Lytechinus pictus: one gene and its partner. The protein of the gene in region 1 binds, or shares a complex with, the protein of each later gene. Links are inferred from orthologs where the notes say so. Each region holds a gene or a part of one and is shown on either strand. Other genes may lie near its edges.

Region 1 (16,420 bases):
AAACGGGTGTATCTCTTCAATGTTATAATAAGGACATAAGTATTTCGTTTGGAAATGGTGAACTGGCTCTTTATTTGCATTTAATGATTCAATAATATTATTTTATTTGTTAAGCGGTATTTTTGGAAGAATTTTCACCAATAAAACAATTATCTCTTGTGATTTTTTTTTCATTTCTTTCGTAAAAAGTGGGGGATGTTTGTACAGGCCATCCCCCCCCCCTCCTCGAAAAGTGGGGGGATATATCCCCCCATCCCCCCGGGATTTACGCCAGTGACTATTTACAGTCAACAGAATTTGATTCACAAAAAGGTATTCAGAAACAACTTTATGGCAAGACATGCATACATTATTTTGTATATCACATGAGCTTTGGTTAGAAATTTGCCTGCTACACATGCAACACACATAATAAAGCCATTAAAATGAGTTACAATACAAAAAAGGCAGATCTAAAGATAAAGGGAAAAAATAAGAATGAGTCCATCAGGGTCAATTCACAATTTATAATCTAACAAGAGCAAAAAAAAAAAACATGACCATTGGTAGTCCAAGCAGAGACAATCTTTGACAAGTCAAAATCTTTCCAAAACCTGGATTTATGTAATAAGTTTTTTTTTTAAATCTTCTTTCCACCTGAGGCATTCACAAGAGCAAAAACACGGCCATCGATAGCTAGTTCAAGCATTAATAGTATAAATTAAACCACATGAACGACAATAGTTTACACTTTATTCTTCTTGTGTTTATCGGGCTATCGTCCCATGCATTGATAGTTGAGCACAATATTTTTTTTTCATTTTAGTATTCAAGGCAGTTTGATTTTAGTGTCAAATCTATTTTGATCGTCTACATGGTCTACTTGAAAAATGTGTTGCATTTTGGCTTCCCAGGGCTTAGAATAAAAGCAAATGTGGACATGGTAGATACGGTAGATTAAATTGCTCTTACTTACGTGTTGTCATGCCTGTTGACATGGTTGGGGGCGTCGAAAAGGGGAAAAAATGTCCTTCATCAGGAGAAAAAGATGGTGGCGGAAAGGTAATTAAAGTGGTTCCCGGGAGCGGTATCGATGTCGTCTTCCCTGCGATGAGGTCCAGCATAGTCGTCATCGTCATCAAGACGGTTCGTAAAGTCATCATGCTCGTCATGTTGTTGTGGTTATTTCTAAGTGAAAAAAAGTAATCAATAAGTTGCATGTCTGTGCCTGTGCGGTGGCTTAAATATGCAGCGTACAAACTTGCGACAAGCGGTATTTTTGGCAGAAATATTGCTTTGTGCCTTTGCGCAGAACTACTCCCTGTTTGCGCATGAGCATGACACGTATAGTTGGAGCCAATTAAAAATGTTCAAAGATAAGTCTGCAATGAAAAGCCAAGTAAAAAAAATCTCAAGCACTGCATGTGTTTTTTTACTAGGGTATGCCTCATCCTCTCACATGCTTCTATGTTATTTGTAATTGATTAAATGATGATGCTGAATCAATTCAACTTGAAATCCCCCTTAGGCCTAAATAGGAATTACTATTGTTTAATCTTTTACGATTTATCTGCAGTTGCTTTGTAATTATATTTGATATAATACTAAATAGGTTCATTATTGCGGATTGAAATAATCGCTAGAGGGTATTCATATTTGATATGTTCAGTATTTGTATTCGTCTATGTATATGATGTTTTATATCTGTATTTGTTTATGTAAACGATGTATATGATGTTTTGTATCTGTATTTGCTTATGTAAACGATGTATATGATGGAAACGGAACAAAAATAAACTTGAGCTTGAACATGAACTTAAACTTTTGCTTGTAAAATATTCCACAAAGTCGATCAACATTCCTCAGCACTCAATATAGTAAAATCTGAAATCTACTTTCAAACTTATACTTCTATCCCACTGTCGTTCGATCCACTACGATTGGCCTTTTGTGGCTGATCGATCGCGAAAGATTTTGAGCCGTCCAAAATTTATTTCACAATCACGACGATCGCTACGAATGACCTCAAGATCTGACACGATCAGTACGATTGCTCCACGATGCAGACCATGGTTTACATCGTGGTACGAATCTTGAGTGGGAACGAGGTACGAGGCTACGTACAGCTTTGAGATTGAAAAAAGTCCCACGACAAGAACCACCTTCAGAAAGGAATCAGAATTAAATGAAACGGATGTTCATAAAGCTTTAACAGGTGACATGAAATGATGTAGGATTGAATTTCAAGATGAAATCATATACATGTATATAGTGCGTATTAAAAAACGGGACAGATTCGAAAAGTCTATACATTTTTTGTTTCAAATTATGATCTCTACATTTTGGTGTCAATAGGTGCTCTGAAGTCTTATCCTTCAAATGCCATTAAAATGATTTAGTTTCGTTCATGCTTGAGCGAACACAGAATGTTTTGTCTGGGGTTAAAAAGGAGGCTTGCGCCAAAATGGCATAAAATGATAAATATGATGGTTGGACTTCTTGCTAATCAGCAGACTTCCTCTTAACATTTTCATTATCTTTGCCATAATTTTCGAATTATGCGTTCAAAATTCATTTCCAAATATACTTATTTGCTTGAATTGTTCTGTTGTTCCTTTTAGCTTTGAATATTCCTTCTTTAGGCAAGAACATTTTTTTTTAACCGAAGTATGGGAGAGCGTGATTTTTCTCCAAATCCTTTGATTGTGTGCTACAAAGGTTATGGTTCCTTTGAACAGTGGCATACTGATGGGTGGGGGCTTAAGGTGCCCCCCCCCAAAAAAAAATCATGACCAAGAAAAAAAAAGTGGAAGGAAAATAACAGAAAACATAGAAAGCGAAATATGATATCATTTTCTGAATATTTATGTCAAAATCACAAAATTTTATATTTTAATAAAAAAAGTGGAAATATTTCCTTGATGGCTTCACAACTTTTTAATACATTTGACCCGATCTGCCGTATCTTGCTCCTTCAAAATTGACTTAATACACCATTGCCGTTGAAAGACATGAATCCTTTCCTGTTTGTCCTGTCAAGCACATAAACTTGGTGAAGGATTCAATAGGATTCATGTCTTTTATAGGTACCATAACATAATTTGTTTCACAAAATAAAAGGATTTGAATAATTACAAATTCTCCCAATTGATAATACAAATCTTCTTACTTGGGTTGACAAAAAGTTTACTTTTCTTACTTATGAAGGAAAATTCAAAGGTAAAAGAAGTTTAAATGAAAATCAAAATAATTCAGGTAAATAAATAAATTTAATTTCTCATTTCTGCCATTTTTGCGCAAGCCTCTTTTTGAACCCCCGACAAAAACGTCCCATCTTCGCTCAAGCATGAACAAAATTTATTTTTTTACATAGCATTTCAAAGATAACATCTCGAGCATTCATCAAAATATAGATAAAATAATTTGAAACAAATATTTTATAGACTTTTCAAAACTGTCCCGTTCTTTTATACGCACTGTATAGGTAATAAGTAAAAGAGGATGGAGTGACAACGAAACGTGAATTAATTTTTGTAGATTCCAATTTCTAAAGAAGTTAGGCATAAGAAGAATACCATGGTGCAATGTAGACTTTGGTGGCGACCTGTTTCATGGAAAAACTGGAAAATCGCGAATATTTCCAATTTTATTTGATCACAAAATGTGGATATTAAATACATGACAAAATATTTCTTTAAGCATTATTATGTCCTGAAATTGGGCGAAATATTGTATGATAACAGTTTCAAAATGTGAAACTATTAGTACTATTACTACTACTACTACTAAAAGTTTTTTTTGGGGGGATGCCCCTTCAAATCACGATACCATCGAGATAACAACGTATTTTTTTAATCAATTGAAACAAATAAAACATACAAACTAAAACATGTCAAGGGATACAAAATTAAAAAGGTTTGAAAAACCCGAACAACTTTGTATCCCAATGAAAATATAAATTGAAATATAGTAGCATCAAGATAAAAAAACCCCATTAGTTTAAAAGACAATAACGTAGTGGCAAGAAGGCACCGGAACAACAGGATCTTTATACTTGATATAGTAGATTTTACTTGATTCAGTATAATGTATTTTGTATCAATTTCCATGTAGGTCTATATACTTTAGTACTTATGATATGAACGGAAATTGACAGGAAGTACAGTGTTATTTGCAGGCTACAACAATTACTTCAGGTCATTTACATTCGAAGCTTCGGACATCAAATTAATAGTCCTGTAACCTACAGTACCATAACATTTCGGTTAACATATACATTAGCAACAAATGACTCCATGATTAGTCAATGAAGCTTTGAACCATTCGATCAATCAAGTAGATTTACTGTAGGTACACTATAATTACTTACTTAAACACTGTTTCTGCTGTCTTGCACACTGCTGGCGCGGGTTGCTTATTCCTGTCGACTGTTCACCTTGGACGTATGACCAGCTTATACCAAAGGTATTTCCCAATATAAAAACTAATACTTCAATGATATCTCTTTGTTGTATGCCCCTATACGTCATAAATATTTGTGGCAGAAATACCTACCTGCGAAAAAACAATCCGGTCACACTCACTTCACAATAACAATGTACAAACGCTAGTAATTCATGGCGTCAAACTTGTACCCCAAGGTTCTCTTTTTCTCTTCCTCTTATTTTTTTTTCTCTCTCTCTATATTGGTTCTCTTGTTCCAACATAATAGTGGAAAATGCATCCCTCCGTCCGTCATGTAAACATTACTCACACTTTTGAAGAAAAGAGGACGGAGAGAGAGAGAAAGAGAGGGGGTGGAAGACGTGGAGGAAGAGTGGACTGAGCAATCGGGTGATGTGCTAGGCTAATTAAAAAAAAAATCGAAACGAAAACCGACAGGTAGGCCTATATATTTCGTAAATACCTTAATGATAAAAGAGTCACAATGCCTAAATGCTGCAATAATTTGGAAATGAATTGGCTCCAAATAATTCGAAACATTTAATTACATTATTCTCATATTAAAACATGACAAATAATTAAAATCCAATCATACCTATACTTCAATTTTCTCTAGGAAATATACTCTCTTGAAAGAAAAGAGCCAAATTACAAGCCCTTTCTTTCCTCCATAACATTTCATCCTCATAGCTTTTGCATTTTCAGTTTAAATATAAAGGTATATTCAAAACATTCGTGTATGTATTACATACACGAATGTTTTGAATATACCTTTATATTACATACACGAATGTTTTGAATATACCTTTATATTTAAACTGAAAATGCAAAGCTGGCCATCGTCACATGCTTGTATTTATATTTAGCAAAATAAACATAACATGATTAATAAGAAACTAACGTTCTGAAACTCACACGTCGTGAGACTAATTTTTGCCCTTAGTCAACGAAGAAGCGTTTATTTTTTTCTCTCTATTCTTTTTTTTTACAATTGAGTATTAAGCATATGATTACACTTAATTGTTGGAGATGTGAGATCCACGCTATTGGGTTATTTTTTAAAATAGTTGTTTCGATTAGCCTAAAAGCTTAAAAGCTATAAACTGGGGGCCTAATCAAACGGTACGTGTCAGAGAGCACGTATGCGTTTGATTCGTCAAACCTAAAAAGCTGCTCATGTGGAAACTTCTAAATGGACTCGAGGCATACAGTATTATAGTTCTAATCATGATAATGGGATTTCGTTCAAGTCCTTTCCATTAAGGGTCATGATGATTAAAACAAAATAACGTTTTTGTTCTCCTTTTTTTCATTCATTAGTTTTAAGCTCGATAGTTTTTCATTTGATATCTGTTTCCATTGATCATAATAAGTGTTTACAGGGGCCGATGAACCACGGGGTGGGGGTGTAGCCTTCCCACTTTTTCAATAAACGTGAAGAAAATCCCATAAGTAAATCTGATTGTGCTTGTTTCATAGGTTAGCCACCTCCCTCCCCCATTTTCGGCCCAGCCCCCCAACTTTTAAAACCCCTGCCGCGGTCCCTGGCCTTGTTTGGATCATATAGTTTTTCAAATATCAGTGATGTTTGCCCGTTTATCTCCTTTATTCCATGCAGGTTTAGTATACTGGTTCCCATAATCGTGTGACAATAATGATTGCATAATTATATTGATATATTTTTTTTTAAAGACATAGCAAAATGCGAATTTAACACCCATACTTAGTCAGGGGACTGGGATTCAAGTGGGGGTAACTATTCACACCCCTGTCCTACAACGCTAAGGTATTTGGGACCTATATAATTGGGGACCTATAGTTGTCGAAGTTGTTTCCTGTTCAGAAAATATATAATAGGAACTGTAATTCTATGGGCCCACACACCATGCACATGTGCAGACCGGTATTAAAATCACTATGTGAGAAATTCTTGTCATTCAACTGTTATAATCAGGGGCGGCGTCATAAGTTGGGCTCTTACCCCCTCCTAATTTTCATGTCATAATACAGTGGTGCTAAAAAGTTAGTGACCCCCACCAGAAAATGCATTCCTTTATATGCTGAGTGTTGAATGTAGACAACAACACAACAATGTTTGGCGAGCCCAGAGAAACAAGCTTTATTGAAAGTAATATGTCAATTACTGACTTCACAATTAAATATCAACATGTCAGAACTTATACAAACACTTGAAATATGTTCATTTTCAGGTGGGGTTCGCTAACTTTTCAGCATCATGCACTAAGTACGTATTATTCAATTGAGAACAAAAAGTATGTCATCTTCATGTCGACTTGCCCCCTCCTCCATCAAAATAATCTTCGGTCCCCCCTGGTTAAAATGGTTTTACCCTTAGCATATATTTATGCTGATACAAAGATACAAATTGCGCGACCAGATTTAGTCGTGGCAATGTTTTTTTTTAAATACATGATATCAGCATAGACTTTACTTCATTTTCATCTTGTTTCATACCAGTATATCTTAGGGTAATAGAAACTATGGAGGCCATCTCTTTTGAGGTTGCCCTTGAAATTCGATCTGTATGTTGCCTTTTTAAATTTTATATTATGTAGGCCTATACATCATTAAACTGGCTTTGTACAACAAAAGCCTGATCCTCGAATCAGCCAGCATGTAATGAATACTTTGTATTCTATTTTTTCCCCAATAAAATAAAGAAAGAGAAATTATATATGTGAACAAAGCGGACCTAAAGAATCAATTCCCTAAATTTTGCTTTATAATCGCATTTTATGTAGTAATTCATCTTTCACTCGTTCAATCTCGGGTTTATAGCAGGGGCCGCGAAACGGTTTTCAAAGTGGGGGGCTGAGCCAAAAGTGTGGGGGGGGGGCTGACCATGCAAAAAATCACAATCCTATGGTCATTTTTACGTTTTTGTACACGCTTCCGCGGCCCCTGCATAGGTCAGTCACACCCAACCATTGCCAACGGGAAAAGATACTTAAAACGGCAAAATATTCGAAATGATGTGGATAGCAAGATTTAAAATAAAACAAAGAAAGTCACCAAAATGTTCATACACGCCAGTGAAAACGATTCGTCTAGTATTTTGATTGAATTGGAGGGTAATTTAATGCCTTTGTGAATATTGTCACCTGAACCTATCAACAAATTTGCCGGACTTAACAATATCAATTTTAAACGACAATAAAAATTATGCTGGTAGACGCATGTAAGATAAATTTTTCCATTTTCAGTTTTTATTTCGCAAGTATCATATTTTATCTCTCTCTCTTTCTCTGACTTCTATCTGCCTTTATATTTTTCTTATTTCATCCTTCTTTTTTTTGTTCCTTTTATTCTCCATACGCTTTTCCCGATTCCCTTTGTATATACTGCAAAAACTGTGGTGTTAACCGGTGTACACAGAGGACCACATCAGTTATTTTACACCGGTGTTATAAATTGACAGTGTTAGTTTAACACCTATAGGTGTTATTACCCCACACCTATGGTTGTTACATTTGCACTCTTTGGTGTTTATGTTCAATCTCTAGGGTGTAATTTAACACCTCAGATTGTGGTCCTCTATTAACACCAACTGGTGCCGGTTTTAACACCACAGTTTTTACAATGTATCTTTATCATAATTTTATTGTGTGTGATATATTTGTGATAATTCTCATGATTATTCTGAAAATATTATTTGGTCGTATTATCTTCTGGATTAATTTATAACTTACATTATACGATTCCTCAGTTGGAGGCGCATAATTATAGAGACGTTAATTATAATCAAAACGTGATATGTGCTATATAGAGCTTTTAATATTGTCATTCTTATTATTATTGTTATTATTATTATTATCATTATTATTAATATTATCATTATTATCATTATTATTATTATTATTATTATTATTATTATCATTATTATCATTGTTATTATTATTAATATTATTGTTATTATTATTTGTTATTATTATCATTAATAATAATATTAACATTAATATTTGTGATGTTCCGATCAGTTAGTAACATAATTCCTTTAGGCATCTCCCAAATATTTCTCATAAATCGTTTTAGTAGATTCCGTTTTTATATATACATGACATTTTCATTCTTGTACATATCTACATAAGTTTAACATAAGCCTATATGTGTGTGTCACTTCCACTCTGCAGCTATACTAGTACCATCTGTATGATAACTGCATATGCAACAATAACACATGCACACACACCCACACACCAAACATGTCTTTAAAATTTTGTATTTGTAAACAGAAATTACAATCATTTATGGTATGTTTTTCATTAAATCTTGGAGATTATTTTTTGTCATTCACCAGAGCGAGCGCTCAAAAATAGGCATAATTTTTATTATATTTGTGAGGTCCTCTATAATTGTGGGTATAACTGATGGAATATAAAAGAAATATCTTTCTATTAATACCTTGGATAATACTTTGGATGTAGGCATTTAAAGCTAATAATTTATTTGCCTCTCGATGGCTTATAATGAAGAATTCTGAACACTTTTAACGGCACTGTATACAGCATTTGAACATGGGCAGGCAAAACTTTCATTTGGGTCAAATGTCACTTTTCTGGAGATCCAATATCTCAATAAATTGAATGAAAAATAATAATATTCAGTATGATATTAGATAAAGGCATGAATGAGTGAAGGAGAATCTGATTGTGCCAAAATATAAGCATTTATGTCCCTCGGCCTATTCACGAGGAAACCGGGGATAGTAAATGTGATTTTTTTTTTCTAGTTTAAAGACACCATACCACCGGTCAAGTGTATGACAGATTTTTTTTTGACGCAGCGCAGACGAATTTTATCAACATTTTGGTTCACAAGACGTATATCTACCATGGCAGTGCATTTGGTGTGTCTTACAAACGAAGGAGGAGTTCCACTTTTTACACGAACCAAAGGAGATGTAAAATCCGTAAGATTTTTCCACAGATATGAATTTTACCAAAGAATGTTAGTTTGAGCCTTGTCGTACAGTATTTGTATTTGGCTTCGGTCCCACTCCTTAATTTTCGTGTGTCCCAAGTCAATGATTTTTAATTGGTTACTGTGACTGTGTGATCATGATCTGAGACTGAGTGAGAAGACTAGCTAAAATAAAGCTAGGACGTGGCATTGGAATAGGCCCAAAACAAAGGACAACATCAACAATATATAATAGATAGTAAAAGCAGGGAAATTTCTCTTCGAGGAGTCATTGCATTGGTTTTAATAAAAGCAGAAAGATGGAGAAAAATAAATTATTAATGCCAGCCCATAGGCATACCGGTAATGGTGAAAGTTTGAAAGTAAATGCGGAGATCGACAAGCATTCTGCCATTCATAAATCAAAGTGAAGTCAAGAAAGAAAATATGATGAGTATTTTTTTAGGTTTTTAATTCATGAAGTCATGTGAAGTTTACTTGGCTCACTCATTCAAATTCAATGATTTGAGCAGAAACCCAGGGAGCACCGGCCCGCGGAGCCCAGGACTCGTCCGATCCGTCTAATACTAGGCGGACATATGCTCTCCGAAATGGGGTAGAATGGGGTTGCAATAGCACTCAAAATAAAAGGGGAAAAAATAAATTATGCACTTACCTCGATTATATTGATGAAGGTCTATCGTGAAACACAGAATCCTGACATCGTCTGTGCATATCAGACCACACTCTCAGCGGAGACTCCGTGCAGTATTCTTAATCATAAGGTTGTAAACACAATGATTTCACTCTCTTGGTGGGAGCAATTTTCAGTCATTTACATGTTGATTTGGAGGACCCTACACGATTACAATCAATGTCATGTGGTTTATGATTAATTTAATTGAAAATAATTATTCCCCAGGTTGAGTGACATTGCATCTGTGGCCTCCTGTGGCCACTCTTTGATTCTGTATAGTCACAGAAAAAATTCCTGCTAAAGTACTGCTCTACATCCTTCAATTTTCGATGAATTGTACAGATATCTTCTATGATGTTGACTTCTTCTTCAGGAGATCAGATATCAGTCTTTTCTTGGACATTTTTTTCAAGTACCAGGATATTTCCTTCAGCTTAAATTTGCAACATGTTTATTCAAGATTCATTTGTTATTGGTTTTGGAATGGCATCAGTATTAAATGGATGCCTGGAACAAATATCTAAACTCCTGAGTGTTCAGTTTCCTCACTGACCTGACTCTCGGATTCTGTTTCCTTTGACTCATGTTTCCTAATATTAAAATAGACAGCTCTTTGAAGAAGTCCATTGACCATTGCAACTCCAGTCTTAAAAGCTTTGAATGGTGTTAATATCCAACTACATGTATCACCAACAAAAATGAAATCATCCATTAAGTTAGTATTCCTATCTTTGATGGCATTCAGAATCCAATGATTCAATCTTGAAAATGTCTTATCAGTGTTATTCTTTTTTCTCTACATTGAACAGCTTGCTTTTGCTGAACAAGGCATGCTCTACGGCGTTCAGATGTTTGCCCAGAACCATGGGGTAAAGCTGGAAAGTACAACCACTGAAGAGGCCAAGGTCATCTGGCAGGTGTTCCATGACAGGTAGCTACATTGACCATTGAGGTCAAAGGTCAAATACAGTGAAACCTATACATAAAGACCACCCAACCTAGGCCTTAAAGAGCAGGGGTGTTTCACAAAGATTTAAGTATGAATTAGAGTTGCAATTAAATGCTGACACATACATGGTATGCAACATGGCAATCTTATACATCAATATGCTATAGTGCGCATCCTCTGACTATTGCGGTCATGCTTTACAGCGTACATGTATATACCGAATGCAACTAGGCATTTAAGTGCAACTCTTTTTGAAGCACCCCCCAGGTTGTCTTCATGAATACGCCACTATTATAAACATTTTAATCTGGAAAACTATTCAAGGGAAACGAAAGTTATGACCTTTATAGTTTTGTGGTCCCATTTTATTGGGTTTACTACTTACATGTATATACACAATATGTTTATGTAATGAACAAAAGTAAATCAATTGACTTTTAAAATAATATATTTTATAGATTTTCCTTATAAATTGTGTTCCTTATGTTGCAAAATTAGGTTTTTTATGTTGCAAAATTAGGTCTTTTATGAACTGTAGCAACTAGCAAGGCATATTCATGGAGTATGTGTATATATATATATATATATATATTTTACTCTTTCTCCTTTATATTAATGTATTTTTTCAAAACGATTTTTAACACCATATTAAAAGTTCTTGCGTCGACACATTGATGTCTACACTGCAATTGTTATAAGGCAATTTGAGATTTGCAACGCAACTTCTAGGACATGGTTATCCCTTCTGTTGCACTTGCATATTACAGTATGTTTTGCCAGTGAAGGCATTACCGATATCCTGTCGATGATGCAATGCAGTACGTCGGTGGCAGCCGCGATTATTAATTAATTTTCTTGTTCATTCTACAGTGTAACCTTGGTTTTGGTGACCAGCAACGATGGAAGCTGTGATGTACATTACAATACACTTCTCAACCACATATTTCATTCAATGGTAAGTACTACTGCTTGTAGTTCACCTGGTGACATCCACATAGGGTTTATTATAGAATGGCAACATGCATATGGAATTACCGACGCATGACCAGCCATGCATCTGGTAAATTTGCCATGCGTCGGTAATTACTTATATATGGTTGTAAAAAAAATGGTTGTTTCAGGTTATGTTCGTAGGGCTGTATACCCTTGTAATAATTAGGATTCTACAGGAATATCTTTTTGTCTTAAAGGAGATATTCTGTCTTAATGGACCCATTCAGATATGATGATAATACTTACAAACATCCATGTTATCTCATATCATTTGTCCTTTCTTTCGGCTGCAGGTTATGTTCATAGGGCTGGATACCCTTGTGAGTATCAGGAATGTAGAAAAACTCCGCCGAGAAATAAAGGTGAGTCTTAAAAATGATATTTCAGCTAGCTTTCAAATTCTTTTCATGAAATTTTAAGTTGAACAGTTTATTCAGGATACATCATGCTCTTCTTTAAAGGATTGCTCAACAAGTGCCCTCTCAAGTGCCCTCACAGGTAAAACAGTCGGCTCACAGTGTGCATGTAGTCCCGTACATTTATTTATGTGTTCTGTCCAAATGACTCGGCAGGATTTTGTCAAGTATTAAGGTTATTTTGATAACTTTTTAATCTTGATAATTGCAAGTACAAAAAATAACCAACTGAGCGAACACTTCATGTATGCTTTTGTGTCACAGCAAACAATTTTTTTTGCTTCAAGCGGGTAACTATGTCATCATTGATTGGCATGTTTGAGCATCTTTCAACACCTGAACTTTTATAAAAAGTTTGAGTATAGTGTAACCTGCATATAATGTCTACTGAAAGGAACCCCCCCCCCCAAAAAAAAAAAAATAGAAAAAACAAAAACAAACAACTGGCCTTTAAAGACAACAAGTGGCTGCTTAAAAACAATTTCTTATACACATAAATTGCCTCAGTGGGAATAAGCTTTAGTGGCATTATAGACAGGTGGCTGCCATAGACATATACATTCATTTTGCCTCCATGGGAATTGGTTTTACTGGTCACTATAGGGAGATGGCTGCTATAGAGAGGTTTTTATCCACGCAATCTGCCTCCATGGGAATCCGTTTTAGTGGTCGCTATAGGCAGGTGGCTGCTATAGAATGGTGGCCCCTGAACAGAGTTTTGATCGTAACCACTCTGTAATAAGTTTAATAGTCCTCTCATGTTCACCCAAATTCTGGAAATTGTCTTTATATCAGGTATGCTATCCTGTTATCGATGTACTTCTTCAGGAGTCTGACATGTTTGGAGCTCTGACTTCATCAGTAGATGTCCTTATCTCACCAGAGAATACTACGTTACTGGTAAAGCTTTGATCAATTATGTTATTTCTTTGGGGGGGGGGGAGGTGGAGGGCAGATGAACTAACCGCCTCCCCCCACAGGGATTGCAAGCCCCAAGAGGGGTCGAGGAAATGAAAAATAGAAATGGGATCAATAAAAAGGGGAAAGGAAATGCAGTACCTAAGATGGATACGTGAACAAATGTTTAGATAAATGTCAACAGTGGGGCATTTCAAAAGCCACAACGGTTACTTGGGTCATTTGTGATAGGGAAATTGGAAAAATTATATTATTGGTATATGATTATGTTCTGTTAATAATAATGATCAATCAATTTACCCTTTTTCATTTTTACCAGTTTAATAAGTGAACACATTAAAAAAAATGCTCATTCTTTCTACAAAAATTAATTGTTAATCTGTTAAATTTATGGATAAAATATGGAAGATGGATATTTCTATGGATCATTTCATGTTACTTCAAATGTTTTATGAATATTCATGTAAGACATTCTAGCCATGTCATGGTTAACTACACACATATAGATAAAGGAAAAAATTGTATTATTCACTTTTATTTTGGAATAAGAAATTATTTCCTGTGACTTTTGAAAACACATTTTGCTTTTAATGTATGTTCACTCATGTATGAATGATGTGTCAATCAGATTTTCACACATACATGTAAGTCAGTACAGAAATGTAGGAGCACTTCTCCCTAACTATTTTTTCTTATTAGGGTAAAAATGAGGAATTTAATTTTTTGCTTGTTTGTTACTATTTTTTTCTAACAAGGATCCTTTGGAGGCCTTTGTCACCAGTGCAGATAGTACATTCGGTTGTCTTCATGCTGATGGCAAGCTGGTCGTTGCTACGTCCAACTGGTGGTCACTCAGTGGTCAAGAGATGATGCTAGTGGCCAAATTCATCCAGTCTCTGCCCGTTGGGACATCCAGTGATGTTCCCATCTATCTGCCTCACGCTAGCCCTAAGGTAAGCCATTAAAAAAAAAAAGATTGTGTGAAAGTGTCCAATTAGGCTTCATTTTATATCAAAGCTTAATGATAATGGCAAGTTGAAAGAACTGTTAGAAGAAGAAAAGGAAATGGAGAGTGAGGAAGATGAAGGGTAGACAGGAAGAAGGGGAAGTAAGGTTGAGGAGGGGAGAGAGAAAGGACAACAGTGAAAAAAAAATAGAAGGATGGAATTACGACAGACAGAAATAAGAAGGGGAAGAAAAAGGATGAAAATGAGGAAGGAAGGGATGAAGAAAAGGAAGAATGGAAGGATTGATGCAAGGTTGATGGAAGGAAGGAATGCTGGAGGGAAGAAAGGATGAAGAGATGAATGAAGTGAGGAGTGATGGAGTGAATGCAGAAAGGTAGGAGGAAGAGTAGGAGAAGAAGGGAGGAGGAAGGGGTGTCTAGAGAAGGACAAGGAGAGGAGAAGTAGCAGAAGGAGGAGATGAAGAAACAAAAGAGGATATGGAGGACTAGTGTCATAGCCAAGTGTGAACCCTGTCCTATTTGCCTGATATCAGAGGACTGGGCCCCATATGAGATCTAAACATTTTTTTTTTATACAAACATTTTGTGTGACATAGATTGAGCAATTCTGTTTTTGATATGTTTCAGGATCCTCATAGACTGTTGAGCATCCACCTCTTACCTGGTGTTGTAGTTAGTGTGCTGTGCTACGCGAACCCTACCCTATCCGAAGCAGAGGAACAACTCATCGAGCCATCGTGGAGGTCGCACCACGAAGCTCTCCGGGCAATCCAAAGGGCGCCCCCATCCAACATTCCAAGAACAATCCCTCTTGATGCTGGGATCTTGGGGTAATTACACACATATATGGTCTTAACTCTTTCCAGGAAGCCTGTTTTGTCAATATGTTATGTCTCAGCTGCACTTGCTAAACAACTCCATATGCATACCATCCGGATCTATCATCTTATTTCCAACAACATACCATCAGTCGGTTTGAGACTTTGGTTTTGTTTGTGTGATTGTAGAATTAATTTGTTAGCCTAATCTGTGTGAAAATTTAGGTGTTTTGTGGTGATATTGTTTTGGGGTTTATATTCATTTGGTCTACTAGCAGTTGGTTGGCTTCTCATATATTCTAAAATATGGGCTAAGTCCATCTGGTCTCCCTGCTGTGTGGTCTACACTAATCAATGAATCACTTAGTCTAATTCTCATGTAGTCAAATACCCAGCTCTAATTTCAACTTTCTCTACTTATTTTTTTTCTTTATTAAATTGATATTTGGTTAATGAACAATTAATCTCTTGTTGTAAGACCAAGTCGATTCATAAGAAATGGGTATAGTCACCGAATATTAGACACATTGGTGAATGGACTAAATAACAGTTAGACAAAATAATGATAAGACAGTCTGGTTGTCGACAAAATAGAATTAAGTGGGGTGAGACCAATCTGCAATTCACAGATTTGGTCGGGGGGGGGGGGAGGGTGCAGCACGGTTATCAAAGTTGTTAAGATTGCCATTGAACAGCGCAGCTAGAACTTATATGATGTTTGATCCGTTATCAGACATGTTCTTTTTTTATCTTTCATGTATAGGTATGTTTTATTGAATACCGATCAGCACAAGTGCCTGTCATCCATGCATCTTCCACTGATCGCAGGGGGCGCGGCCGAGCTGAAGCCCCTGCCACCGTACGCCCGGAGAGAGATCCTCACTTCGTTCTACCGTACTGTCGCTGGAGGACTCTTCCCGCCTTCCATCAGTCCAGAGAGGCAGGGTAAGAAGCAAGTGGTGCTGCCGTTTGAAGAGGAGAATGGGTGGTTATTCTCCTTCTTTTTCTTCTCATCAATATTTCATTCTCTTCCTCCTCCCAATTCTTATTCTACTTCTCCTTAATTTTTCCCCTTAATTTTTCCCCTCTTAATAAGATTTCTTCAGCAAAACTGATCATATTATTTGTACACATCAATATGTGGTCCCATATATTAATTTCTTTGTAGTATTTATGAGTCTTCTCACCTGAGCTTCCATTTTTCCAAGAATCTGTTCAAAAATTGCTTTTAAGCTTCACCCTACCAGGGTCATTTTCTGTCTCCAATGTCGTCTCACTTCTCTTGACCCTAGTCCTCACAAACTTTTGAAATGGCACTTA
Region 2 (16,392 bases), on another chromosome or scaffold:
GCCAGTGTTATAATAATTATGCTTTGTATTCTCTGGCAATAAGTGTTATATGATGATGAATCCAGCCATCAATACCATTATTCAAGAGATAACGCTACAAAGCATTCCTGCCAGAGATCACAGTAACTCTGCAATATCAATATGTGTCAGACGTAAGTGGCTTCATCATCATCACTAGCTGTATGTGTCTCTACTCCTGATGAAGTATTAAGCTTTGGAGTCCTTTCAATATTCCCTGTAAGAACTTGATCATGAATCCACAGGTATTCCACCAACGTGTTCATGGCAGGAGCAACATCGTCAACCTCGGCACAGGAGTCGCCTGCCAACAGAGCGTTCGATTCCGTGGGCTTCAAGACGTTCTTCAACTTAAGAATTGGCACTTGCCACTGCTTCTGGAAGTCCAGAAGTTCCCTGGAAGTGATTTCACTGCGGTTGTACTGGTCATACTTGGTACCAATCACAAACAGAAGAGGTGTGTCTTCGTTAGAGAGAGTCTTGGACAACTGGGTTCTCAAATCCTCGAAGCTGGAACGATCAATGAAGGAGAAGAAGTAGAGCACTGCTTGAGCCTTTTCTCGGCAAGCCTAAAATGTAAAGAGAACAGAGATTGAAAACATATATATGAAAACTTTAGCTGGATTCTTGACTGTGCACCATATATTATAAATATACCACACACCTTGAATATTCATTCCAAATAACTGGAATCGTTTTTGCCAGTGGGATACATGCTGCTATCTATTTCTCATAGTAATTGTATAGCTGGGGCATGGCCGTGATAGGAAGGGTAGAAAACTCAAGCACAATACAGGAAAATAAAGCATCCTGATCATTGACAAAGCATATTCCACGGGGGGTTGATTTTCCATGTGGCATCCTGATGTTAACCCTTCGGAGCCGTCTGGCTTCTGCAGAAGCGAAATATCAGTATTTACTATTTTTGTCTCTAGAAGCATTTCTTTTGCAAATTTCAAATAAGTCATGGACAGCAGAAGGGAAGCCCTTGTGATATTTGCATGCCAATATAATATGAACTACTTACAAATTGACTAATTTCAGCATTATCCAATATGAGATATTTTAGAGCTCACTCATTATGGAAGACGTATTATTATGAACATATTGTGTATAATTCATGCATGTTCTTGCATGAATCTAAGATAATTAACTTTCGATATTATTTGAATTATGGTTATTTCTGTTCGCTGATACCCGTCATGCCCACAAACATACTAATGAATCATTAAGAACTGGACAAGCCAAATATGAATCTGACTTTATCTTGTTGATCTGAGAAACTGTCGCCAAAATAAAATGTTTCTATTGTTGAAACACCTGAAACGCATTGTTGTAACACCTGTTTAAAACACATCATCTTGTCGTCAGCTCATCACATGGGGTCAAAGCTGGTACTATGCGGGTACATTTGTATCCTTTTTAAGACATCCCTGGTTGGGAGCAGTTTATAATCGCATTATCGAGTTGAAATATCCAGTTTAAAAGTTGGGAGCAGGCACCAACAATCAAAGGAACCTCATCAACAGGGAAAATATACATCTATATCTCATATCATTGGTATAATACTAGTATACCTCTTTTAATGATTACATTAACAATGACTTCAATGTGTGGTTCTCTCTGGCAATCTGAAGCAGTGCAATTATTGGCAAGTTTTCATTTTGTGATGACCTCGAAATCTCCCCCAAGTAAACAATATTTTACTTGAAACCAGTGAGAAAGAGTCACGAGTAGAACTGACATAAATTTTGCAAATGACCATGAGGAAGCTGAGTGACATTTATGAATATGTTTTATAAAAGAAGAATAGTTTCTTTGGCCATCCATGTTATTGGTTTTGTTGGTTTTTGAGTAGAATTACAGGAAAAATGTCACAGAATTTTCCAGTAAATAGCGAAATCAAGTGGTCGAGAAACTTTTCACATTTTCCATTCATGAGCATGAATGAAAGTGAAATAATATGAGAAGTTGACCATCTATTTTTAGATTAATTGAATGTGAATCAGTGGTTGTACTTCAGTAATACTTACTGGATGAATGTGATCAAACTTCCTCTGGACAGCATGCCCAGCATCCCAGAACTCAAGACAGAACATGACAGGTTTCCCAGAATGCTTCAGCTTTGCAGGCCAGTATGTCACAGCTTTAACAATACCTAACGAAACACATGATATAAACACATACATGTAAAATCCAAGACTTTTGGTAAAAGAGCTTTTGGGAAAATGGCACCAGAATTGTGGATCAACCTACCTTATTTTATGAGATCAATAACAGACAATGACAGATTAAAATCTGTGTTAAAAGCATACATTTTTAAGGAGCACTTGTATTAGCCTAAGTACTAAAAATATTAAAATAAACCCACATGCATAGAGAATATTTAAGTGGTATTACACGTCTCTATCATCTGATTATTATCTATTATTTAAATTCAATGCCTTCAAAATTCAAGAAAAAAAAAAACATCAGTCAAGTAATTAACACCAACATATTCTTAATTTTAAGGACAACAATCATAACTAAAAGAAAACTATACTAAATATTTAATTTTTTTTTGAATTTTTTTAATGCTAATCTCCCACCTTTCAACACATGAAGTACATCATATTTGATACATGTATTGTAATTTTTTTTTTTTCAATTAATGATATCATAGTAAAATCGTCACAGGTCAACTCCCCTAGAAGGAAAATTCCTCCAGATAAGATCCTCTAATGAGCATTTCTTTAACTCTCACATTCATCATCTAATTCAATCAAAACCAGGACAATTGTTTGTTCATACATGAATATTACAAAGCACACAACAATGATGTTCTATATATTTGGTGACTAGGGTGTAAGCCTTGTATCCCAATAGGTTAAAAGCAGGGTTAAAAACAAAATATACAAATAGATTTTAATACCATGACATATTAAAGAGAAATGCATGGTTAAAGGACAAGTCCACTTCAACAAAAGGTTTATTTGAATAAAAAGATAAAAATCGAACAAGCATAACACTAAAAATTTCATCAAAATCAAATATAAAATGAGAAAGTTAGGAAATTTTTAAGTTTTGCTCAATTTCACGAAAACAGTTATATGCACATCCTGGTTGGTATGCAAATGAGGGGACCTTCATGGAATTTTTTGTCTCTGATTTATTGTTATTTTGACAGTCTGTAATGTTCTCAAATGACCATGAGTTGGTCAGTTTATGATGTGAAGTAAAACTAAAGAAAAATGGGGGTCAGACGTACAAAAAGGTTGATCATTTTATGGAATTGCCCTTATGGTTCATTCAAGTTTGCCCATATAGTCAAATCTGTAAAAATTGAAATATTGTATAATTCAAACAATAAAAAAAAAATAGTGAGGGACATCATTGACATTCTCATTTGCATATCTCTGAGTTGTGCAAACAACTGTTTTCTGAAAAAGCATAACTTTCTCATTTTACATCCAATTTTGATGCAATCTTCAAAGTTATACTTGTTTGATTTTTCTCTTTTGATTCAAATCAACATTTTTCTGGGGTGGACTTGACCTTTAAACTTACCTGGGGTTTCCACATGGTTGGTAGCTACTTGCTGCCCACATAACCTAGCTACAGTACTGCTCTTTCCTACACCAGCTTTCCCAACCAAGCACAGTTTATACTTTAATATCTTGGGCTGCTCTAGATGGGACGGTAATGAAGGACTGTCCAGACAGCCTGATGAAAATAAAAATGCAAGTTGAACAAGGAATTAGAATCCTATATATTTGGGAAATTTTGACCCACTTTCCAAAAATCAAAGACTGTTATATTTCCAAACATCAATATTATCTTCTGATTTTATAAAATTTCAAATACACAATTAATAGGGCTACATATCTCATTTGATTTGAAGAAAAGCATTTTCCACAAGTACAATAGAATCATTCACTCTCAATTTAATAATCTATGCATATACTAAGCTACATTTGAAGTGATGCACCAAACTTGGTGACCTTTGACCTGTAACCACATTACCCTACAAGTTCATACCCAATATATGCACAAATATCATGCAATTTGAAAATTCTCTATTTACTGGGTGCTTCCCACGATATCTTGAAGAATAGGCTATTTCTATGAAAATCAAGGCCTCTTGATCAGGAGAGCATTTCATCAACATTTTTCATATAACAAGTTTAGTGACAGTGATTTTCCGCGATCGCGGAAAACGGACGGAATTCACGGAAAGGGCCTTTTGAAACGGAAAGTGGCATTTCAAACGGAAAATCACGGAAAACGTATTTTCCCTCAAAATACACAGAATAGCAACAGAAATTACTCCAAAATCACAACAAAATGAGAATATTAAATGGCCACAAAACCCCAGAAAACACGATCTCACTTCGCTACTATCATGACAATTCACACATCGTGACTGCACTCGACATCACCACACTCGATTGTACCCCGCACTCGTACCGGTACCCGCGCAGCCGGCCGGGTGGGGCTTCACATGCACACATATCGTTCAACTACACGGTCGTGTGTTGCTGCCCTCTACGTTTTAAGATGTAACTGCACGATATCGTGGTCTTAAAATCCAAGATGGCGGATTGGCAAAAGCCGTTTACTGATGCTAACGATGTCCAAAAAACCCCAAAATTATCGATGAAATATCATTTCACCGTGAAATAATGCTAATAATGTGAAAGGTGAGGATGTATGCATGCTAAATAGGTTTGTAAAAATATTTTATGCACCCGCATAGATCCGATTAGAACGGATTCTATTGTGTTGTTGGTACAGTAGCAGATACAAATTTTGACCAGTGCGAGTGTACGTGTTGTGATTTTGCTATTCATGTGTAAACGGAATTGTCACTTTTCCGTGTGTACAAAGTCTATGGGGAAACGGAATTTCCGTTTTCTGACATGCTGAAACGGAATTTGAGATTTTCTGAAACGGAAAAGGCAATTTTTTGAAACGGAAAATCACTGTCCCTACAAGTTCTGACAACTTTCCCTTATTCTCATTGGCCGAGAAGCACAGTTCCTACGGTCTGTCAGATAAAACAGGGCCTCCGTCTTAAAAAGAGTTACGATTGATCCAATCAATCTTAAGTATATGGAAATCCATCAATGTCATAATTTTTTTCTTTAGGAAATTTGCTTAATGTCCTTTGAAAACAAAGAGAAGCATACTGAATTGTAAAAAAAACAGTGAATGTATGAATATACATGTACATCATTTCTAAAAAATATTTTGGACAAGCATGTATTTTAGATTTTGTTGTTTGCTGGCTTTCCATAGTTACGATTGATTGGATCAATCGTAACTCTTTGTAAGACGGCGCCCAGGACTTGTCGGATATAGCCTATCATCTGACAAGTCCTTTCATGAAACGCTTCCCTGACTAAAGTCGATTAGCCTTCGAGTAGCCAATCATAATATTCAATACCCGGGTACTCACCAAACATTCTCCTTTTTCCATGTCTGAGGATACTTGTAAAGTATTCTCTACCCTCTTGTGTTTTATGCCACCCATCATGATTGATGTAGGTACCAAGAGTGTGAAAGGACCAATTTGACCTCTCTTCTTCCATCAGGGTCTTTGCATCAGACTACTTACATCTGTTTAAAAAAAAAAAGTTGTACATAGCTCACACATGACACAGAATTTAGTTCAATGAAGTTTGTATCATTTGACACAGGGGTGAATCCAGGATTTTCCAAAAGGGAGGCAAAAAAAAAAAAAAAGGTTTTCAATCAAAACTCAAGTTCATTTTGTCCACATAAAATTTGAAAAGCTCCCCCCAAAAAGTCCTCACTTGTCTTTGAACGACATATATAACCATTAAAAATATATCTTGTGACTTTCAAAAGGGGGCCCACACTTGGGCAAAAATGGCATACATGTATTTACATTAAAAATTTTATTTTAATCAATGTGGCAATCAGATTCCTCATGAAAAATTACCCCTTTTCAGTCTACTTTCAAATTTACTCCTTTTGTTTCATAAGGATTTTTGTCATCTTCACACAAAACAAATAGGCTTCTGACCTCAGTGAGACAAAATTTGGGGTGGAAAATATTCTTTTTGGCCGTTGGTATGGTTTCTATTATAGTATTAATCCTTGGCAAGTCTCCAGCAAATTTCCTCCTCATATAAAGCCAAGCGCAGTGATGTCTGAGAATTTGAACGATGACTTAGAGACCAAAGCCGAAATACAGCCGTTTACAATCGCAATATAACTATAAGCAGCAGGGAAATTGACCTATGTGCTTGAGAGACTAGACAGGAATAACCGTCGTTTCTGGGGTCTGGGGATTTATCTAACAATTTCTTACAATTTTACTGTCCCTATTCACCTGTATTGGTGAGTGGAGCCAACGTATTTCAGCGGAACAACCAAGGCAATGTACAGAGACTGAAGCTTTTGGTCTAACAGTAACACCACTAGTTTTGAGAGACTTGCTATGACATTTCGTGGAGGGGAAATTTGCTTGAAGTCGGCTGGTGCAAAACTGCAGCATGCATAGTGCCCAATTACAATTTTGGCCAAGAGTCTCCAATAAAACTGGTCGTGTGTCACTTCTGACCAGTAGAGGCGCTGGTCCAAAAATTGGGATTGTCCCAGAGAACAAGGATATCAAAATGGAATTTAATAATCTCTTTTGGTCCAGTTCTTTTTATACATTTTTATGAAATGACAAAAATCGATGAGCCAAATCGGGGGGATTTTGCAATGTTAATCCCCTAATATATAATGGTGGGAGCACGATACTAGCGAGCCGTCTGTGTGCGAGGAGAAATAAAAACAATTTAAATATGTTTTAAAAATCCTCAAAACAGACGGCTAGCTGCCAGCTGTCTACTGCTGACTGGCAACACAAACGATTACCTTTCTAAATATTTGTTACTTTCTCATGACTTTCTTATTCTATTTGTATTTGTTTACTTTTTTTCTCAAACTCCCATGTCATAATAATGATGATTGTGTCTTTGTGAATGATTTTTTATGTTTAATTTTTTTTTCTTCTGGTGACTGGTTTTCACAGTCATGACAGTCACTAACCCAGAGAGCTCCAGCCCGCGTAGCGGGCTGGAGCCCAGACGCTCAGTGTGCAAACGGGCATTCAGGTGAGAGTACCGTGAAGTTTGGTCAAAATAATTTTGATAATACATAATTAAAACAGAAATTAAGCACTTACCACGATTGTATGGATGATAGTCTAACGAGTGGCAGTTTCCTGACATCGAGGCACAGACTGGAACCTCAAAAAACGATCAGTTCTGTCGCGGTGGCTCTCCTTCTTTCAAAATTCATAGCAAAATGGCCGTTCGAGAGGGTGTAGGGCGCATGCGCGAATTTGACAAAGTCTATATGCGCTAGTGCTATACTAGCCTCGGTCTCGATCGGCCATTTTGTGTTGAATTCTGAAAGAGGAGAGCTACCGCGACAGAACTGATCGTATTTTGAGGTTCCAGTCTGTGCCTCGATGTCAGGAAACTGCCACTCGTTAGACTATCATCCATACAATCGTGGTAAGTGCTTAATTTCTGTTTTAATTATGTATTATCAAAATTATTTTGACCAAACTTCACGGTACTCTCACCTGAATGCCCGTTTGCACACTGAGCGTCTGGGCTCCAGCCCGCTACGCGGGCTGGAGCTCTCTGGGTTAGACAGTCACAAGACACAAGCTAACTAACTAACTTTTTTGACAATCAAACGTCAGTGCTCCATCTGTCAGCCCTCCATCCCATCAACTTACAGGTTTGAATGTTCGAAAATTCTGTGTAGAAATGGTCCGATCCCTGATCTGAGAGCTAGAAACTGAAGAAGTAAGTTAGAACAGCACGAAATTGAAAACAGAAGCGCGCGGCGAGGAAGAATCAATCGAGTGATATAACGGAAATGGCATGTGCTGCTACCCGAAGCCGCTGGCGCAGGTAGATCGCACAGCCCGCTAGTTAGGTTCGTAGCTTGCGAGTTGAAAGGTATTGTCAAATGATAAATCAAAAGAGAGAAAAAAACAGTCGCGAGGAAAAAAATATAAGAAAGAAAATGAAACTAAACCTATATAAACCCCTCAAAAAAAGTTTGGAAATCTGATTTTGGCCATTAATTTCTCCCAACTCCCAACTTTACACAATTCATAATTTACATCATTCAAAAGATCAGTTAATTCTCTTTAAAATGATACCATGCTTGTTATGGTCATGCCACACGAAAAGAGCTGGGGAGCGTTTCATCAACATTTTTGTCCGACAAGTTGTCAGATCTGACATCTTTCTCTGACTCTGATTGGCTGTGAGGTACTGTTACTATGGTAACTGTCGGATAAAATGGGACTTGTCGGATAAAACGTCCGACAAGTCCTTTCATGAAACGCTCCCCAGGATTCAAAAGTGTTGGATGAGGTCTGAATTTAAAAGCTGCAAAACGAGCAGAAATAGTCATGAAAGGTCAATACAGAACATGATTCTTTTGTCTGTGTCAATAGAGATGAAATCCATTCAAATAAAACCCCTGCTTCTTGATTTCTTTATGTTTTGTTGTGGTTTATGTAGTGATGGTTCTGTGAGATACATGTAAGATGGTTCGAAATACCCATGCATATTTGTTTATTTCTTGTGTTTGCTTGTGCAATGATGTGTTTGATTGCATGTTAATGTTGATGTTAAGGTGCATGAAAACAATTAAAAGAAACCGCTGAGAAACTCACTCATCACCACGGAAAAGAGAACAGTGACTTTCAATATTGTGTCATTTTGCAACTTTTTAATTTTGACCTTGCCCCACATTTCAAGGCACTGCACCTCCATGTGAACCATAATCATAGGGTATCATTTTAAAGAAAATTAAATGATCTATTCATTGATATTAATAACACATTGATATTCGATAAAACCAAGGAAGGATTATCGATCAAAGTAAAAAAAAAAAAACCGCTGAGAAACTCACTCATCACCATGCACGGAAAAAAGAACAGTGACTCTCAATATTGTGTCATTTTGCAACTTTTTAATTTTGACCTTGCCCCACATTTCAAGGCACTGCACCTCCATGTGAACCATAATCATAGGGTATCATTTTAAAGAAAATTAAATGATCTATTCATTGATATTAATAACACATTGATATTCGATAAAACCAAGGAAGGATTATCGATCAAAGTAAAAAAAAAAAAACCGCTGAGAAACTCACTCATCACCATGCACGGAAAAAAGAACAGTGACTCTCAATATTGTGTCATTTTGCAACTTTTGAATTTTGACCTTGCCCCACATTTCAAGGCACTGCACCTCCATGTGAACCGTAATCATATCATGTAGGGTATCATTTTAAAGAAAATTAAATGATCTATTCATTAATATTAATTACACATCGATATTCATTACAACCAAGGAGAAATTATCGATCAAAGTCAGATTTCCAAACTTTTTTTGAGGAGTTTAGTTTAATATGAAAACTGCTGTTTATAATAAATATAAATCAGTCAGCCGTGAAATCCAGGGGATGGGAAGGGATGGGTTGAGTTTTCTAGCAATTTGCTAAGAAGAAACGAGTAGACAGATAGTGTTTATGATCTGATAAGATGAGTATTGTAATTATTTGTCATATGTAAGTTTTGTTATATTTTGTTATCTTGTTGACCTAATAAAAAAGGGGTATCTCCTTTGATTTATCTAACCAGTGAAAGAAAAAGCAAACAGAGAAATGAGAAAAGGGAATCAATGTTATTAAAGGAGAATGAAACCCTTGAAAAAATGCAGCTGAATCCATATCAAAGAGAAAAATCAAAGAAACATATTGTTGAAAGTTTGAGGAAGATTGAATGAATAATAAGAAAGTTATGAGCATTTGAAAATTGAGATCACTAATGCCATGTAGATCCTCCCATTGGCAATGCAACCAAGATCTGTGATGTCACACACGTACAACTCCCTCATTACTTTAGTACTTATTTCACTTATATTCTCACTTTTATAGAGTCTATCACAAGGTGAGGTGTTCTCTTTATGAGAGGACAAGTACAGAGGTTTCACAACATTATATCAATGATGAATCGTTTGTCATATGATTAGAATGAGCAAAAAGAGATGTTTTGGGGTACATTTTCAGTGTCCAAAAGGGGAGAGTTGTCCAGTTTTGGACACTGAAAATATACCCCAAAACATCTCTTTTTGCTCATTCTAATCATATGACAAACGATTCATCAATGATATAATGTTGTGAAACCTCTGTACTTGTCCTCTCATAAAGAGAACACCTCACCTTGTGATAGACTCTATAAGGTGAGGTGTTCTCTTTATGAGAGGACAAGTACAGAGGTTTCACAACATTATATCAATGATGAATCGTTTGTCATATGATTAGAATGAGCAAAAAGAGATGTTTTGGGGTACATTTTCAGTGTCCAAAAGGGGAGAGTTGTCCAGTTTTGGACACTGAAAATATACCCCAAAACATCTCTTTTTGCTCATTCTAATCATATGACAAACGATTCATCAATGATATAATGTTGTGAAACCTCTGTACTTGTCCTCTCATAAAGAGAACACCTCACCTTGTGATAGACTCTATAAAAGTGAGAATATAAGGGAAATAAGTACTAAAGTAATGAGGGAGTTGTACGTGTGTGACATCACAGATCTTGGTCGCATTGCCAATGGGAGGATCTACATGGCATTAGTGATCTCAATATTCAAATGCTCATAACTTTCTTATTATTCATTCAATCTTCCTCAAACTTTCAACAATATGTTTCTTTGATTTTTCTCTTTTATATGGATTCAGCTGGTTTCAAGGGTTTCATTCTCCTTTAAAAAGAGAGGTCTAAGTCTTTGTGTCAAGGGTATCATTTTACCCAGATGGATTCGCATGATATTGAATTAGTAAAACAATGTTGTACAGTGTGCACATCAGTTTTGAGTGGTTCCCACTACAAGCTCTACAGAGAGAGAGAGAATAAATAGGGAAAGGGGAGCAAGGAACAAAGACAAGTAGCAGAAATAGGAATTTTGACATTACATAACTTTGGATATTTGTGGGAAAATATGAGACTGTAAAGCGAGCAAGCCAAAATACACAAAGCAATTATATTTTATGCATAGGCTATATAAGACCCGATAGCAAATTATTCATCAGAATGATGACTATTGAAGTTGAACACTCTACTGATGAGGAATGTACTCTTTCTTAGCTTTGGCATATATTATACAAACACAAGGGAATATGGTGAGATTTTAGGGAAGGGCTGGAGCTTAAATAGTATCAAAATATTTTATCAAATTTTATTGCTAATGTCAAGATTCTCATGGAATTTTCATCGATATCTGGCATAATAATTCTTCTTTCCCCCCCCCCCCCCCCAGATCTGCGAGAGATTCTGCACAAATCGCTCACTTTTATATTTTTTAGTTTCATATTTTTTACATTTTTTTAGTTTCATATTTTTTACATTTTTATTTATTTTTATTTAATTCCATTTTGTTTTATTTTTTGGAGGGGGTCTTGCTTGATTTCCAGAAATCTACACCCTATCCAAAATGCAACCCCTCAAAATTCTTGCCTCATTACTCACAGTAACACTTAAAAATAAAAAAGTAACCCAAAATGCCTTATCTCCAAGGAAAATTGATGGAATATTTATCATCACCACCACTACTACCATCATCGTCTCCTTATCAACATCATCATCATCATCATCATCACCATTATCATCATCACCATCATCATCATCATCATCATCATCAGTGGTTATTATTGATATTGCTGTTATTGCTATTATCACTATGACGATGGTGATGATTATTTCATTCGTATTATTATGAGTCTATCATCATTATCAGCACCATTGCCATCATTATCATTTGATGGAGATTTTAATCCTTTTGCATACCTAAATTCTAGCATGCGGATTCATCATTAATGCAAGTTCACTTAGCTGGAAGATGAATTTGAATAGAGGTGAGCCTTACTCTATGCAATACCGGTAATCCTTGCAGCTAAATTCTGTCTATCTAGACTAGAAGGGGCCAGACTTGACAGGCATTCATGCTATTTTCTGGTTCCTATTATCCTTGCTTTTCAATGTATTCATAACTGATTGTCTGTAAACTTGTAAATTGGTATTATTATTGCATTGGATAATAAATAAATTCATTCATTCATTCATAAATTTTGTACTCTCTGCAGTTTGTGCATCAAGACCATACATCAATATGATTTTGACCTTTTTGTTCCTTCTCTTTTTTCTTTCCTGTATATAAAAACGCATAATTTATATGAATAAGTCGGTTATATTTTCTCCATTTCCAAGGGGGATCCACACTTTAAAAGCTTTGCTTTTTAGTGGACCCCCCCTCATAACTATTTATGCTCAATATTATACTTTTTTTTTTTTTTTACGAAGTAAGAATGCTCGTCTGTAAAATTGTATTTGATTTGTATTACTTTATATTACTTTGTATTATGTTTTGAATGGAAATGGAATAAAGAATTGAATTGAATTGACCATACAGAAGACTATTGCAAAAGTCAATGCGAGACATGACCAGCATCTGAACGAGTCTCTGGGTGGTCTTTTTTTCTTTTATAAGAATTGATGGATGCTACTGATTTAATGCAACACAAATGTGGCAGATCTGCATACGTTGTTCACACGAGTCTTCAAAGAAAGATTATTATCTAACATCAAGTACACCTACACACTACAAAAAGAACACAACTTGTCAAGTGTTTTAGTTGCTGTTGATTTTTACTCCATATATCACTACAATATGACCTGCTAGTGACAGAAAAATGTTACAACTTTCAGACATATCCATTCCCCATCAAAGCACTGTAAATGAAGGATTCTTAGTTTGTATTTTACAATCCTCCTTTCCTCATTCCTTAATTTTATTTATCAACATGTACACAGCACACAGATTTATATAGTACAAATTGTCCTGTTTCCTATTCTTCTCTTCTGTCTAGATAGTCTTAGATTAAAACATAAATAATGCTACCATAATTCATTCAAGATATGCAGATAGAGGAGTACAAAATGACTAACAATAAGTTACTTAGATTTCTTATATAACATACAGGATTTACAGATATAAAATTGCATTTTTTTTTTCTTTACATTTTGGAGGGAATTTCGACATCCAGTCTTTTCTAAAAATACGAAATGAAAATGTACCAAACAATGCTCGCATTTCGCACGGTAGAAAAAACTACCATGAAATCTTCACACATCCAGCGATTAATCCTCTTTTTTGTTTTTATTTCACACAATATTGAATCTAAAAACCATGAATATGAAAGCAATGACCCGTAAAATGCACAAGAGAGACAGAAATGGTCAAATCTTGCCCTCATATTATTATTATTACCAATCGAGGAGCAATGGAAAGTAATGTAATACCTATACCAGATAATATTATTCTATTCATTTCAGAATGGATTTCCTGGCTCTTTATACCTCAGTCACATTTGCTCTACGGCGGCCGTACAGCGATCAAAAACAGCCATTTTAACAGTTTTTGTACCAGCTACATATAGGTGGTTTGAATAGAACGGCTGTTTTCAATTTGCCATACGGCCCATTAGGGGAAATATGACTGTACATTAGGAACATTAAAAAATTTGCCCAAAAGGTCATTTTACAATTCAGCACTCCAAAAGGAATATATTATTATACACAGAGAGTACATATCATCACTGATTAATATTTCAAATAAATTCATATGATTTATATAATTGCTAAAACCTCATTTCAAAATAGTAAAATCATTCTAAAATCACCCTTTTTTTCCTAGAATAAAATGTAACAAATTTTAAAGGTAATATATGTTGGAACTCCAGTCCTATGTAAAAATGGCTTTGTGAAAAGCAACAATGTAGTTGAGTGCTTCAACCCCCCTCTCCCCCTTAAGTTGGTTGAAAAGTACATATAAAACACTTTTTATCAGTTTTACCAGTAAAACTTGGTATGGTAGTACCATTAAGCATGATTTTCCAACCCATCAAATCATATTCAATAAAGTATTGGAAATTTCTTGTCTTAATACACAGTTTATACAATCTTTAAATTCACAGATAAAAGTATGCTAGAATCATCAAATGACCTACATTTCAAATTGGCCAGAAAATTTTCAGATAATTCTTAAATTTTTATGGGAATTTTTAAAATGCCAGAAGAGTTGTATCTGGCAGATATAAGCATCATACAAGAACCAATTATTATCACCATTAGTATTAATATTACTATTAGTCATAAAAAAATAATACTTCTTAAAAGGGTTTCAGATACCTTTGGTGATAATTAGAAAATTACTCATGCCTCTACAATCCATCAACCTACATTCCAAGATCATATGGTACAGCATTAAAAAAAAAGGGGTTTGATTCAAATAGAATATTACCATTTTGGGGGTTCATATTCATGGTCCATGTCAAAATAAAGCAGTGTCGGGACATAAAACATTCCTTCAATTTTATCAATGCTATTAATCAATCAAGACACGTACGAACAAACCGATCAGAAACCAGGTGAGAGGTCACAATTAAAATACTGTCTGTGACAACGAAACAAAACAAAAATACAGCACAGCTAAGCCAGAACTTCCATGGCATCACACTAGTAATCAAAACCATAAGATTAAAAACACCATATAAAACACAAATGCTGCACAAACAAACCCTGGAATGTATACGTTGCTTTTCACTGATACAGGGCTGTTATGACTGCTAAAAGATCTGATGTAATCTAAAAACACAACTAAATGGGATTTTGAAAGGGCATATCAAATCAGACGGAGCACCCTCGCTACAAGCTGGACACCATGCATGTAACTGGACTTTCAATACAGACATCTAACATGTAGTCATCCTTTTCCAGATTTTTCGGAGACAGGAGTTGATGAGTGAAAAGAAAACAAGAATACTGGGGAGGGGGGGGTGCAGAATATGATACGACAGAGTTATAAATGAGAAAGAATGAGAGGGGGTTCAAGGGAGAAGAGAGGGGCAAGGGAAGGGAGAAGACCACAGAGAGATGGGTAGACAGTGAGAGAGACAGACAGGCAGACAGTGAGAGAGGAGAAAGAGAAGGAGAGAGTTGTTGGTGAACAAAGGAAACAAGAAAGGGAAGGGGTAGAGGGAGAAAATAGGAGGGTGACGGAGAATACCAAGAAGAAAGAGACAAAGAGGTAGATAGATAGATAGATTAGATAGATAGACGGACAATGTGAGTACAAAAAGAGAAGTAAATGGGGACAGGGCCCTGAAACACAAAGATTAGGGTTTGACAGTTAAGCATGATAACATTGATCGATATATGAAATTTGAGGGAACACATTGTGTTACTGGCTCCTGGAAAGGAGAGAAAGAGAGAGGGAGGTGGAAGGCAGAGATAGATATTTACTTATTTACTCTTCATACCGTAATATGCTTGATATGAATTGTCTCACTCTCAAACTGAGAATTTTCATGCAACTCTGCAATCAAGCATACTCTGAACTCTTCATGATTGGCTCTTATCAGTTCCTTCCATCTTTCTTTGTGTCTAAAATGATATGCACTTTCATCGAGATGCATAACGTGAAGTGAATTCTACCTCACACACAGTGCCAAAAAAGAGAGAACTTTGGATGGAATCTGCCACCATATTCTAATGTATTTCTCTAGCCCTGAGAAATGGAATTCATAGGATAACGCTTATTCAGAAATATTTATCATCATGCTGGAAATAAATTACCTTTCATGTAATTCCAATCAATACTTGGATATAACAAACAAGTCTTTTTTCAGAAAAAAATTGATAATCTCTCCCTGAAATTCCACAGAATAATAACATTATCTCGAGATTCTGGTGATAAAGATTTATGTCTTGAGGAATATCGACAAATTTTTTGTCATTATCTATTACACAGTAAATTTAGTTGTAAAGCTAGGGTTAGACCGGAACCATATCAGCTGCGAATACATGTCTTCTGGTTGTTTCGAAAGTATTCTGTTCTCCCCCGCGAATGCGGGAAAGTTCAGGAATGATTCGGGAACATTTGAATCTATCAAAACCATCCGAATTTGGTTTTGGTGTAACCCTGGCTTTAACCAACACTTACGAATAACTATTAATCTGGGGGATGTTTCACAAAGATTTAGGTATGACTTAGAGCCGCACTTACATGCTTACGCGTACATGAAATGCAACCTGCAATCTTATTGATCAATGCCTTTTATACCGCAGGTAACTAGACATATAAGTGCAACTCTAAGTCATACTTAAAGGTCAAGTCCACCCCAGGAAAATGCTGACGTGAATAAATGGAGAAAAATCAAACTAGCATAGTGCTAAAAATTTCATCAAAATCGGATGTAAAATAAGACATTTTCAAGTTTCGCTTA

The links.
Region 2: the proteins of protein fuzzy homolog (region 1) and ciliogenesis and planar polarity effector 2-like are in contact, whole or in part, in a cryo-EM structure (PDB 7Q3E), measured with the Mus musculus proteins. The link is inferred for Lytechinus pictus from reciprocal best matches to the Homo sapiens genes FUZ and CPLANE2. Residues at the interface, in NP_081652.2 of Mus musculus: Arg26, Arg35, Ile109, Val110, Lys126, Glu127, Arg129, Ala130, Tyr132, Cys133, Asp136, Gln215, Ala216, Ala217, Arg218, Asp219, Tyr220, Pro221, Tyr223, Pro232, Leu238, Thr239, Leu240, Leu241, Arg242, Pro255, Leu256, Gly257, Gln258, Pro261; in NP_001074643.1 of Mus musculus: Glu36, Gly38, Leu39, Leu40, Glu41, Arg42, Val83, His84, His85, Glu86, Thr88, Gly89, Ile90, Gln91, Thr92, Thr93, Val94, Lys124, Phe125, Met128, Glu134.

What each region holds. Positions count from the first base shown.
Region 1 is NC_087260.1:17,861,954-17,878,373, reverse strand, and holds the start of protein fuzzy homolog, read left to right. Parts: upstream 1-9,144; 5' UTR 9,145-9,202; coding exon 9,203-9,352; exon of another isoform or gene 9,353-9,390; intron 9,391-10,848; coding exon 10,849-10,970; intron 10,971-11,858; coding exon 11,859-11,943; intron 11,944-12,274; coding exon 12,275-12,343; intron 12,344-13,192; coding exon 13,193-13,297; intron 13,298-14,070; coding exon 14,071-14,268; intron 14,269-14,909; coding exon 14,910-15,112; intron 15,113-15,863; coding exon 15,864-16,045; intron 16,046-16,420. Other genes in the region: uncharacterized protein LOC135157043, read right to left, coding at 956-1,151. UniProt on the Homo sapiens protein: Probable planar cell polarity effector involved in cilium biogenesis. May regulate protein and membrane transport to the cilium.
Region 2 is NC_087246.1:46,318,349-46,334,740, forward strand, and holds the start of ciliogenesis and planar polarity effector 2-like, read right to left. Parts: upstream 7,943-16,392; 5' UTR 7,763-7,942; exon of another isoform or gene 7,705-7,762; intron 5,617-7,704; 5' UTR 5,589-5,616; coding exon 5,456-5,588; intron 3,721-5,455; coding exon 3,565-3,720; intron 2,177-3,564; coding exon 2,052-2,176; intron 588-2,051; coding exon 147-587; 3' UTR 1-146. UniProt on the Homo sapiens protein: Required for efficient primary cilia initiation, regulating a late step in cilia initiation. Plays a role in the final maturation of the mother centriole and ciliary vesicle that allows extension of the ciliary axoneme.